Mus musculus: one gene and its partner. The protein of the gene in region 2 interacts with the protein of the main gene of each other region in a biochemical or structural test. Links are inferred from orthologs where the notes say so. Each region holds a gene or a part of one and is shown on either strand. Other genes may lie near its edges.

What was found. The genes of interacting proteins can lie anywhere in the genome.
Region 1: the proteins of Mxd1 (region 2) and Max form a complex in vitro, tested with the Homo sapiens proteins (4 studies listed by BioGRID, with this or other methods). The link is inferred for Mus musculus from reciprocal best matches to the Homo sapiens genes MXD1 and MAX.

What each region holds. Positions count from the first base shown.
Region 1 is NC_000078.6:76,951,461-76,957,015, forward strand, and holds part of Max (protein max), read right to left. Parts: intron 1,817-5,555; coding exon 1,709-1,816; intron 1-1,708. UniProt on the Homo sapiens protein: Transcription regulator. Forms a sequence-specific DNA-binding protein complex with MYC or MAD which recognizes the core sequence 5'-CAC[GA]TG-3'. The MYC:MAX complex is a transcriptional activator, whereas the MAD:MAX complex is a repressor.
Region 2 is NC_000072.6:86,651,368-86,656,459, forward strand, and holds part of Mxd1 (max dimerization protein 1), read right to left. Parts: exon of another isoform or gene 2,587-5,092; intron 1,833-2,586; coding exon 1,718-1,832; intron 235-1,717; coding exon 75-234; intron 1-74. UniProt on the Homo sapiens protein: Component of a transcriptional repressor complex together with MAX. In complex with MAX binds to the core DNA sequence 5'-CAC[GA]TG-3'. Antagonizes MYC transcriptional activity by competing with MYC for MAX binding.

The DNA of each region.
Region 1 (5,555 bases), on a different chromosome or scaffold from region 2:
GGATGACAAACTACTCATCCCATCTGTAAGCTAGCAAAGTCAAACTTCAACTTCCTCAAAGAAACGCGGCAAGAGGACCTAGTATCGTAAACCTGTAAGGTGTTAAGGAAGAATGTAACAGCAAGGGAAGAGGCCAAGGAAGGAAGCGCTGCAGCTGTGGCTCGTGAGCTACACTTTCAGTGGTCTCACTCTTCAGAACTCCTCAGATGAGCCTGCCTGCCTGGCTTACCCCAGGAGTTCATGTGGCTCTGGAAGTGGGCGGGTCACAGCCCTCCCACTGAGAAGCACATCCCCAGCCCCAGGTTTAGATGAAGGCAGCTCTAGCCCAGAAGCTCACCAAGTGATGCTGACACTCTAGCATACGGAATAAGCACCAAGTGTCCGCAGGTCAGGTATGCATCAGAGATAAATCTCTTGCACAAAGGGTGCGTCTCTCAGTCATAAAGATTTCCTGTGGTGCTCAGTGTTATACTCAGGAATGCTGTTATTCCGGTAAGTACCTTGGTTCAAGGCCATTAAATCAAGTATATACCAAGTGGGCTTAACGTACAGCAAAATTCTGGCTTTGTAATACGGCATTCACATGGCCTATTTGTGTTTTCCTGTAAGCTTAGACTTACTCCATACTTCAACCACACAGAAGGCCACATTATAGACAAAATAGAAAACATAGCTTTTCAACTTTTTATAAACATGAAAAACGTAATCTTGGATAACAAAGCAAATTCAGGACACTTAGCAGAGAACCAAAGCAGTAAAGCCATTTGAAGCATACCTAGAGTAAACACCGTTTTATTAAATCGTGTTCCTTAAGCTAGGTGTAATGCTAACAGGCTAGATGGGCTGAATCCCAGATTCAGGCCAGTCTGACTATACAGTGAGGCTCTTTCAAACAAGCTGACCCAGGGGGCTACAAAAAGCAGCCTGTTGCTACACTGTGTCAAGGGTAGAACTAACTGTGCAAACAAATGTTTTTTTCTTTATTCTAAGGAGTGACCCTAACCCACAGGCTTTTGCTCAAAGCTTTTGGGTTTTGAAGCTAGAAACAGCTGGCTCCTACCTCTCCAGGGAAAATACAAGCTTCAAAAGGCCACCAGGAAGGATGAGAATAACTGCTTTATTCTCTCTCATATGAACATGTCTCACTTTTTTGGTCCACAGCTAACAATGCTCTTTACATATGTTGGGAAGAATATGTGTCAGAACTGAAAATCACTGGTGCCCAGGCAGTTCACAGACCTGCTTCAAAGTGTTCATTTACACCAAGTAAGTACTAATGTTGAACTGCACAAGAGAAATTCCCACAGAGGTTTAGGGTGTTGCTGGCCTGGGAGAATCTTTAGTGATCCCAAACTAATTATGGACCATGTTACATAGTACAGGATATAGTTATAGTAATGTCATGAGTGACTAATTTATTTGCTTAGCATGTACAAGGCCCTGGGTTCAAGCCCAGCACTACCAAATAAAAAAGGAATGGACTACAGCATCTCCAACTCTGAAAGGGATGTCCTGACAAGAGCTATTAGAGCTGACATTGCTTTTGCTAAAGATAATTAAGAATGTGTGGGGATCTTCCAAAGAATCAAAAAGAAAAGAAAAGAAAAAAGAGAGAGACCATGCCACCTGACTGTGTTTCTTTACAGAAGGGATGTTCTAGTCCGTTCCAAGCTGCTGATGGGCCAACTGGCTTTGTCAATAAACTCACCTTCTCTCCTTGGAGTGATGGGACTGAGTCCCGCAAACTGTGAAAGCTGTCTTTGATGTGGTCCCTACGTTTTCGTTCCAGTGCATTATGGTGAGCCCGCTTGTCAGCCTAGGAGAGTGAAGAAAGAGCATGTCAGGAGTGTACTTCTTTACAGGTGGATGCGGCCAAGCCTGGAAGTGTGTGCAGTCAGCGCTGTCCCTGGCAAGTGGACTGGGAAAATTTGTTGTGAGGTGGGTAGTTAGGAAGGAGTCTCCAGAATTAGGCTCTGTTAAAGGGGAGAAAGGGTGAGCAAGGCTTGCAACAGGAACATCCAAAGTAGCACGATGACTCCAGCTCATGCACAAGGAAAATCAAAGTTATTCAGGGACAAAGAGTGACTCTCCAGTGAGTGTCCCCAACCTACACGATGGAGCAGCTGCCAGTCTGTGGTTGGAATGTTACTAAGGGAAGCTCCAGCGGGCACTTCATAAGCTATGGTTACCTCTACCGTGAGACTTGGGGCGTGGGCTGCTTCTGTCCACAGGAAACCCATCATCCTGAGGCTCCGCTGACACCCTCCTGATAAAGGTCACTAGCATATCCTCTTATCAAGTCATACAAGAGAGCACCAATCCTCTAGAAAACACAGTTGCACCTGAGCTCATTATGGCAGAGCTGACAGACTGTCAATTACATTCAGTTTCCTCTCACACAGACTGAGCCAGAAAGGCAGTTCTTGGGCAGCAGACCTTCTGACCCCTACATGCTCTTGGTAAAGTCCCTCAGGCCCCTGCAGCAGGGCAGGCCCATTTGGCAGTTTTCTAAATACCCTAACCTAACCAGCCTTTAACCTTTCCTGCTTGGAATTATAAACAGTCAGCTGTTGGGCCAGGACTGCCAACCAATCAGGAAAGGAAAGAGAGCAGGGCACCGTGCTAAGGAGCTTCATCTCCCTCTGAACAGAACACAAGGACCTATTTCAGCAAAAACTTCACCACACCTACACTTCAGGCATTATAGACACACACACTCTTTGAGATTTTACCCTGACTAGAGCAGGCTGGGCTAGGCTAGCCTAAAGAACCTATGTACACATTAGAGTGACCTGGCCACTAAGCCCAGAGCGCCAGGAATTTTGAAAATGCAGCAACAAGAGAAAACCAAGTTAAATGCTGCTTTCAAAGAATCCTTGTACTAGAAAAGATGGTCAGACAGAATCAGACAGAGCCATGAGAAGAAAAGGACCTGAAATTCTTCTCCTATCAAATTCTAAAGTCTGTGACTCACTGAGGTCTGCACTTTTCTCCTGATCCCTAGGTGCCTATCTACAGTTGTTAATCGGCTACAAATCCCCATTACAGCCACTGTCCTGAAGGACTTGTAAAGTTAACCCTTCTCAAACCTCAGTTCACTGTTAAGCAAAATATTTTCTCAACTAGTTATATGGAAAATAGAAAAGGAATCTGAAAGGACAATTAAGCTTGAAAAACCAGGTACCTGAGGTTAGAGGATATTATACAACACTGGGCAAGATAACTACAGCCACCCTCCAGCGGCAGTGTGAGACAGCTTGAGGTAAACTGGCCTGTCACAATCCGTACCTGAGGAGCCCAAGAGACCTAGGACCAGCATTTGGCATGGACTAGACCTCTGGTGTTTACTCTAATTTCCAAGATGGTCTATTTACATGCAAATCAATTGGTCTTCAGCAGCAGTCCAAGATACTCCTGTCTACTAAATCACCCTGACTCCTGGCCCTCCTCCCAGCTTAAGAGCTGTGCACGGAAGCAGTGACCCCAGTTACCCACAATCCCTCCTGTTAATACAAATAAAATCCTAATTGTCTGTTTTCTTTTTGGGAGAACCCTAAAAATCCCAAGCAGTTAGAGCTAAGTTGGTCTTGGTTTCCTGTGGGCCTGTGCTGCAAGCAAGGAGCTAAGTTTAACCAAACAACAAAATCATCCCACAAGATGCACCACCCCCTCCCGTTTGCTGAGCACTGAAAGGACTCAGATGGACAACAAGTCGTTTGGTTGGAAGACTGTAGTGAACTTGGCCGTAGACCATGAGCAGAAATCTTGGCTTCTCATCTGGGGAGCCAGCCAAGTTAGAAGTTGGCTCGGCTACGAAAGGCGGCAGGCCACTGCCTGGTAGAAAGCCTGGGCTGGGGACTGTTGTTCTCCAAGCAGTGGATGGAATTTCTGTGGTGGTTCCAGACCCAATTTAACTAGCAGAACGGGGGAGTCTTAGAGCAAGCAATCCTGCCATGCCTACCCTCGGCTGTTCTGCCTAAACAGAGAGCCGCAAGGATGGACTTGTTTTCCCCTCCCCTGGCCTCATTTGCAAGCACACGTGAAAAACATGCCCAACTCACATGCCTAATTCCAGGCAACTCTGAATTAAGTGACATTTCCAGTGCTTACAGAGCATAGGAAAACTTGACACACCTTCACACAAGGCTGAGGGTTCTCTCTGCAAAGTATTTCTATGCTGAAGATGAAGCAGATACCCCCTAGCTTTGTGTGATGGGCCAATGGGAAGGCTATTATACTGTCTTGTTAGCCATCTTCTCTTGCTGACAGCTCTTTCCCAAAAGGCCAAGCTTTCAGAACTGAGGAAAGAAAAACCAGGTAAAGATCCTCGGCGGAAGGTGCTGGAGATCCTCCCAGGAGCTGTCTTTTTAAAGCAGCACAGCAATCAACAGCAACAGCGGAACAAAGCAATTCAGGTGAGTGTACACTCTCTTGCCTATACCGAGAAGTGTCTGGTCATGCTGACACTGGGACCGGTGGTACCCTTGTGGAATAGATCACAGAGGTCTTTTTGGGCGATGTCACAGGTTCCCAAATGACTCCCCTATACATCCTCAGGAGTAGATGCTGGACACTGCTTGCTCTGTAACACAGGATTTGCAGTTTCTGTCATAAAGCCCTTCTTCATCAGCATGTCCCAGACTAAGAGAAGTACTAGGGGCTTTGTGATACCAGAGAGTGGTCCACAGCTGCTCACCAGGAACTACAGTACCAAATTGCTTCCAGCTTTGATGTCTAGGCCAAGGCTTTTACTCAGTCTCAGCTGTAGTTCCACCAAACTTTTCCACGCTGGCAGACAGCAGCAAACCCGTCACCTATAATTTGTCCACCTCTCACACTAACAAGCATGTGTATCTTAGTGCAGCTCAATGTTGAAAGCAAGCTTAGTCGCTAAACTGACAGGACACGAAGCTAAGGAGACCCGTTCAGAATCGAGGCACTCTCTCCAGAGTATTTCCTTTCAACTTACTGCACAGAAAATGCATCTCCATTTACTCATCTCACCAATCAGCAACCCAACTTCCTGCGAGGCCTAGCATGGAGAAAGAAACACCTTACTGTAAAGATGTACAAGATTTTTCCAGAATGCCATTTCTTCCAAGCTGCCTGGCACCTAACTGTTCTACCATATAGGGGGAATCTTCTCAATGCCAATGTGGAGAGAACGTGTGTCGTCCTTAGTGGCTATTTAGTATATTTATTTTGAGAAATGTAATGGTGTCTCTTTAGACAACAGAGTCACAGGACTATCCAGCAAGCTTCACTAAAACACTAAGACTGCTGAATACAAAGGCTCCGAACTCTCACGCAGTACACGTATTACTTCTGTTTGGTGAATTAAATAAAACAATTCCTAAGCAACTCAAAAGTAACCTAAAAATTGCAACATGAAACAACAGGCACCTGAGATGAGATAATCTCACTAGTGTCTTTAGTAGGCAGATATTAACTCCAGGTTCCTAGCTCTTCTGTTTGAAGCCTACAGCTGATACACATTTCTGTCAATATATTTGCTTTTGAGGTTTCTACCATCTTTTGGAGTCTAAAAGAACCTG
Region 2 (5,092 bases):
CCCCTACGAGCCCTAGCTTATCTGCTCTGGGGTTGGCTCTGTTGCCTGAAGCCCTTCTGGTAGGTGCGACTCACCTCTATCAGAGTCAGAGCGCTCCGAAGACACCACAGAGCCCACGCTGTCCATCCGAGTCCTCTCGGCACCCAGCTTCTCCAGCCGCCGCTTCAGGTGCCGCTGTTCCCGCTGAAGCTGGTCTATTTGGTGGACAGCTTTTCTGTCACAGTCTTCAAGTTTCTGCAAGTCAAAGGGGTGGTTGTTGGAGCCAATGGGTATTCTACACAAGCAAAGAGCCTGTACCTGCCCCAACAGCAGGAAAATGCGCTAAGCATCCCTGGGAGGCAGGTGGTGTGTCCCTTGTAATCTCTCCTAGAGCAGGAGTTGGCTGGCCAGTCACCATGGGCTCTGGCTAACGTCAGCAGTCATGTGCTGTGGGGCTGGCCTGTCATGGAGATGCAGGGAGAATTGGACAGTTTCAACCACCATCTGAACACCTCTCAGAACTGAAAGACACATGGCACATGAGCTACAAAACTCTTCTGTTTAAAAAGAGGTTTATCCCAGCACAGTCCCCAGTACAAAGTGAGTTCTCATGCTACAAAAACCCCAACTAACTTCTGTTGTTACCAGGAGAGCAGAGCCATGTTAAAGTCCTGGCTTGGAACTGTCCAGAGGCATCTGGACATATGATTCCACAGACGACTTATTCCTACAAATCTGCCCCCAGCTCTCCAATTCGGCAGATAATTAACGAGAGTGTTTAATTGTGGCGGTTTTGCTTCCAACTGAGGCTCTCCCAGGGCTGTGTGTACTCAGGCTGCTAGCTGTTAGTAAGCTGGTATGTGTCGAACCAAGCTATTGCTGAATGGTGATGCTGGCTCTGGCTCAGTAGCACACACAGAGTCAGCAGAGAGAGATCAGGTGGTGCTTGGGACACATGTATGTACAAAGACCTGGTTCCCCCATGGAGCTACATTACAATTCTGGAAACACCCAGCCACCACATAGGACACTGATAGATGTGGCCCATGTCAGTCAGTGAGTCAGGGATCCCACTCAGGAAAGGGCAGCGGAGACTTCTGGCACTGGGAGCCAGCCCTGTACAGAGACCTGCAGCATGAGGAAAGGCTATGCATAAAGAAGTGAGGGCAAGGTACCACAGAAGGAATGGCAGGTATGATGGCCCTGCCTCTAGAACACAACAAGACAGGAATGGAGAGGGCTGCAGTAGGCAGCATACCCTGCCATGTGGCTACAGGGGCAGGAGAGTGACAGTTTGTCCCACGTCCCTGAAGCATTTAGAGTAAGTGAGCTACAATGGGTTTGCTTCCTAGGGTACAGCAGATGTGTGTGTGTGTGTGTGTGTGTGTGTATGTGTGTGTGTGTGTGTGTGTGTGTGTGTGTGTGTGTGTGTGTGTGTGTGTGTGTGTGTGTTATACAGCATGTAGGAGACTGTGGGTTCTCCTTCAGGAGAAAGTGGTGGGTGCAAACAGGGGCAGGTCAGGCTGTGAAATGCTTAGGTCCTGGTGATGGTGGGGAGCCCAGTGGCTAGAGGCACCAGGGCCTGAATTTCTGACTGGACCCTTTAACTGGGTTTGGGAGGCAGGTGGGAGGAGCCCAGAGACCATCCTGGAGACACATTTCCATCTATCTGTCCTTCATGCAGTCCCAACACCCTTGCCAGGTCAGAAGGGGCGGGGCAGCAGGTCAAGGCACCTACCTTTATATGCAATTTGGCTTTTGTCAGCAAGCTCAGAGTGGTGTGTCGGCTTGACTCAGGGCCCAGCGGTACCAATCCCTTTAGCTTCTCTAGGCACAGGCGGAGGTGAGCACGCCTGTAGAAACAGGAGCACAGAAGCACTTGAGACTCCCACAACAGGTTCTGAAGTGCATGAGTGCCCAGCCCAGCAAAAGCTGGAGCCAGCAATGACAGTGTGAGAGGTCAGGCACTTGCGCTGAACCCAGTGAGGAGCAGGACTAGGGGCTTCCAGGTTGATTCCATTTGTAATTCTGGGCATAGGTATAAGTAAAATCTGCTCTATTAGGATCTTTTTAAAGTCAGGTACTCCTGAGTCAGAAGATGACATGCCCTGAGAAAAGTCCTCAACCTGCATTTCTCTTTCTAAGTCACTGAATATATACCATTGTATCATTGCTGTGCACAGAATTTAAGTTTGGAGTTATTCACTGAGGCATAGAGATATATATATAGAGAGATAGAGACAGAGACATAAATTAGCAAAGGTGGACACAACCCAACCAGCCAGTGCTGGGAACTGGTCACTAAGCTCAGGTATAGTCACATAGGAGACGACTATGCCATTTGAAAAAGCCTGAGCCGGATCTCTATGGCAGCGATCTGAGCTGAGGACGCTGTCTGCACAGACAGGGCAGGAAAGCAAGAATCCACATGCATGTGCTTCTGTGGTCATGAGTCTTCAACAACTCATCAAAACCAGTGGTAGTGGCTGAAGAGAAGGCAGGCAAGCAGGAACATAAGGAAAGCTGGGAGGTTTTTTACTGAAAAACTTTTGGTTTTAGGTTTAGGTTTTTTTGACTGTACAAATCTGTTATTCTAACAAATATATATTTTTCACATATGGGACAAGTTTATCCTGGGCAATGCTAACAAATGTGTGACTGGGAGGACCCCTCTCTCATCCTAAGTGTGCTGGACAAAGGCCAATGAGGAGAGACCACAGCCACACCAGATCCTGTGTCACAGCGTGACCAGAAGCATAAGAAACCCCAACCCTGGACTTCATACTTCAATGAAACCTAGACTTGGGTCTTCACCCTGGGATGGAATACGAGAGACAGGCAACTCTGAGGGTTCCTGTGTAGGTCCACCACCTCCTTAAAGCCCTCCTGAGCACAGGGAAGCCTCGTTTTGGGGCTTCCCTGCAGACTGTGTCTGTCCCTCAACCCTTCTTTCAAACTCTTTGGGAAGCAGAGCTGCAGCTAACTCACTCACTGAACGAATGGATGATGGCGTCAGCAGTTCCAGTGGACTTTAAGCTTCTCGAAGACAGAGTCCATCTCTGTCTTCTACCCAGAGCCTGGCCTTGGACAATGCCCATTCCAGCACACAGCCAGCTAGACGGAGTGCCTGCAGCCACGGGGAACAGTGCAGGGCCTCCGGGGGCAGCACTGGGAAGTGTGGCTCAGATCTCAGTAGGCACCAGCTCTGAGCTCAGGGAGCACACCACCCTGAGGTGGCAAATGGAAAGGTCTGGATGCTGGCTGGCAAGAGCTGCCCTGTGGACGAGCCCACACTAAAGACTCAATAGCACCGGGGCCAGGAGGAGCAGAAGCTATGAGTACCAATCATGCTGTCAGAGTACTGCAAGCTACAGTGCACATGTAGGAAGTGCTACAGTGAAACTGAAACTGGCCAAGTCACACACTAGAAAATTAATACCAAGGACACTCCGTGAGGGCTGGAGGCAGCTCAGTGGTTAGGGCACTTGCTCTTCCAGAAGACCTGGATTTGGTTCTCAGCACCCATGTTGGGCAACTCACAACCAGTAGAATCTGATGCCTCCAGTCTCCACACACAACTGCACTTACATGCACATACCCACACACAGGCATGCATCTTAAAAATCTAGAAAGGAAAAAAATATGAAAAAGTACAACTGGTGACTATATGGTTACTTGACTGACTTGCACCTCTCACTCTAAAGTTTACAGATTAATTAATTATATAAAGATGCTTATCAGCCCGCTCACTACGAAAAGACTACAGGGAACAAGTCTATTATACTGTCCTCTTGTGATGTGGTCACACCTGTGACTGTCCCCCTGGGCCATCTTACTGTCACATTAGACAGTATTCTGTTACCAAGAGTGGCCTTTAGCTCCTGTCCCAGCAGGAGAAGGTGGTGCTAAACACTGGCTCCTGTTACCCCTTCGGCCTGTGTCTAGCAGAACCACACTGCCTTGAGCCTAGGTAATAAACTTGGCCAGCTGCAGGCCCCTCCTCCAGAGAAGTGCTGTAGCATGTATAGACAAAAGGCTTGGGTCTATAGCAGCTGGAGAAGCCACACTTCTACACTTATCAGCCCCCCTCCTCTAGGTCAGCAAGCACCCAGGCTATCTATCTATCTATCTATCTATCTATCTATCTATCTATCTATCTATCTATCTATTATGACTTTCACCATTCAATTGCTAAATAACTCAACTTTAGCAGAGGGGCAGGGTGGAGGTTGCTCTGCCACTTAGTTCTCATGTGACCTGGAACTCCACCGCCTCAGTTTCCTTATCTGTAGACCGTGGGACAGAGCCTACCCTAGAGAGCCTCTGTGATACTGGGAGCAGAGGGTCCGATACATTGTATCCTTACACAAGGCTAGCGGTATTGGACAAACACTGCTTCAGTCTTCTCAAGCAGCAGCAAGCTCAGGGTCCTCATCAGCAGGAGTGAGCGATAAAATACTCAGAACTGACATCTTGTGTCCTTGAAACATCTAGTAAACAAGCTAAGCCTTCTGTGGAAATACAGATATTGCTTATGTGGCAGGAAAATATGAACAAAGCCTTTATAAGCTAGTGAGGGTAACGAGGTCCCTCTGAGGTCACGTGTCTCATGTGGCAGCAGGATCCAGGTCAGGAGGGAGGCATGTGCCTCACTTTGCAGGCTACAGGCTCTGGCGTTCTGAAACACTCCCCTCTTCCCCCAAGGCCTTCACAAAGCAAAAGGTGGACTCAGACCTCGATGCACAGCCACACACACTTGGAGAGCTTACAACTCCTCCCAAAGCAAGAGGAACGGTACCACAGTTAGGAGTGAAATTAAAACAACCCGAGAAGGACTGACGGGAAGAAAACTATCAAATATTGCTGAAGGACAGGAAAATCTGAGTGAATGGAAAAAGCTCTGCACATTCCTGGCGATGACCCCTCAAAGCAAGAATGCCAGCCTGCTTCAAATTTAATACAAGTCCACAAAAACAAAATCCCAACATTTTTTTTTAAATGTTGGAAAATTCGCCTAAACTTTATCTAGAAGATTATGCGTGTGCGACGGGTCAGCATTTTGGAAATAGAGGAGGAGCTCGCTGCACAGATACTGAACCCTTAGAAAGCTGCG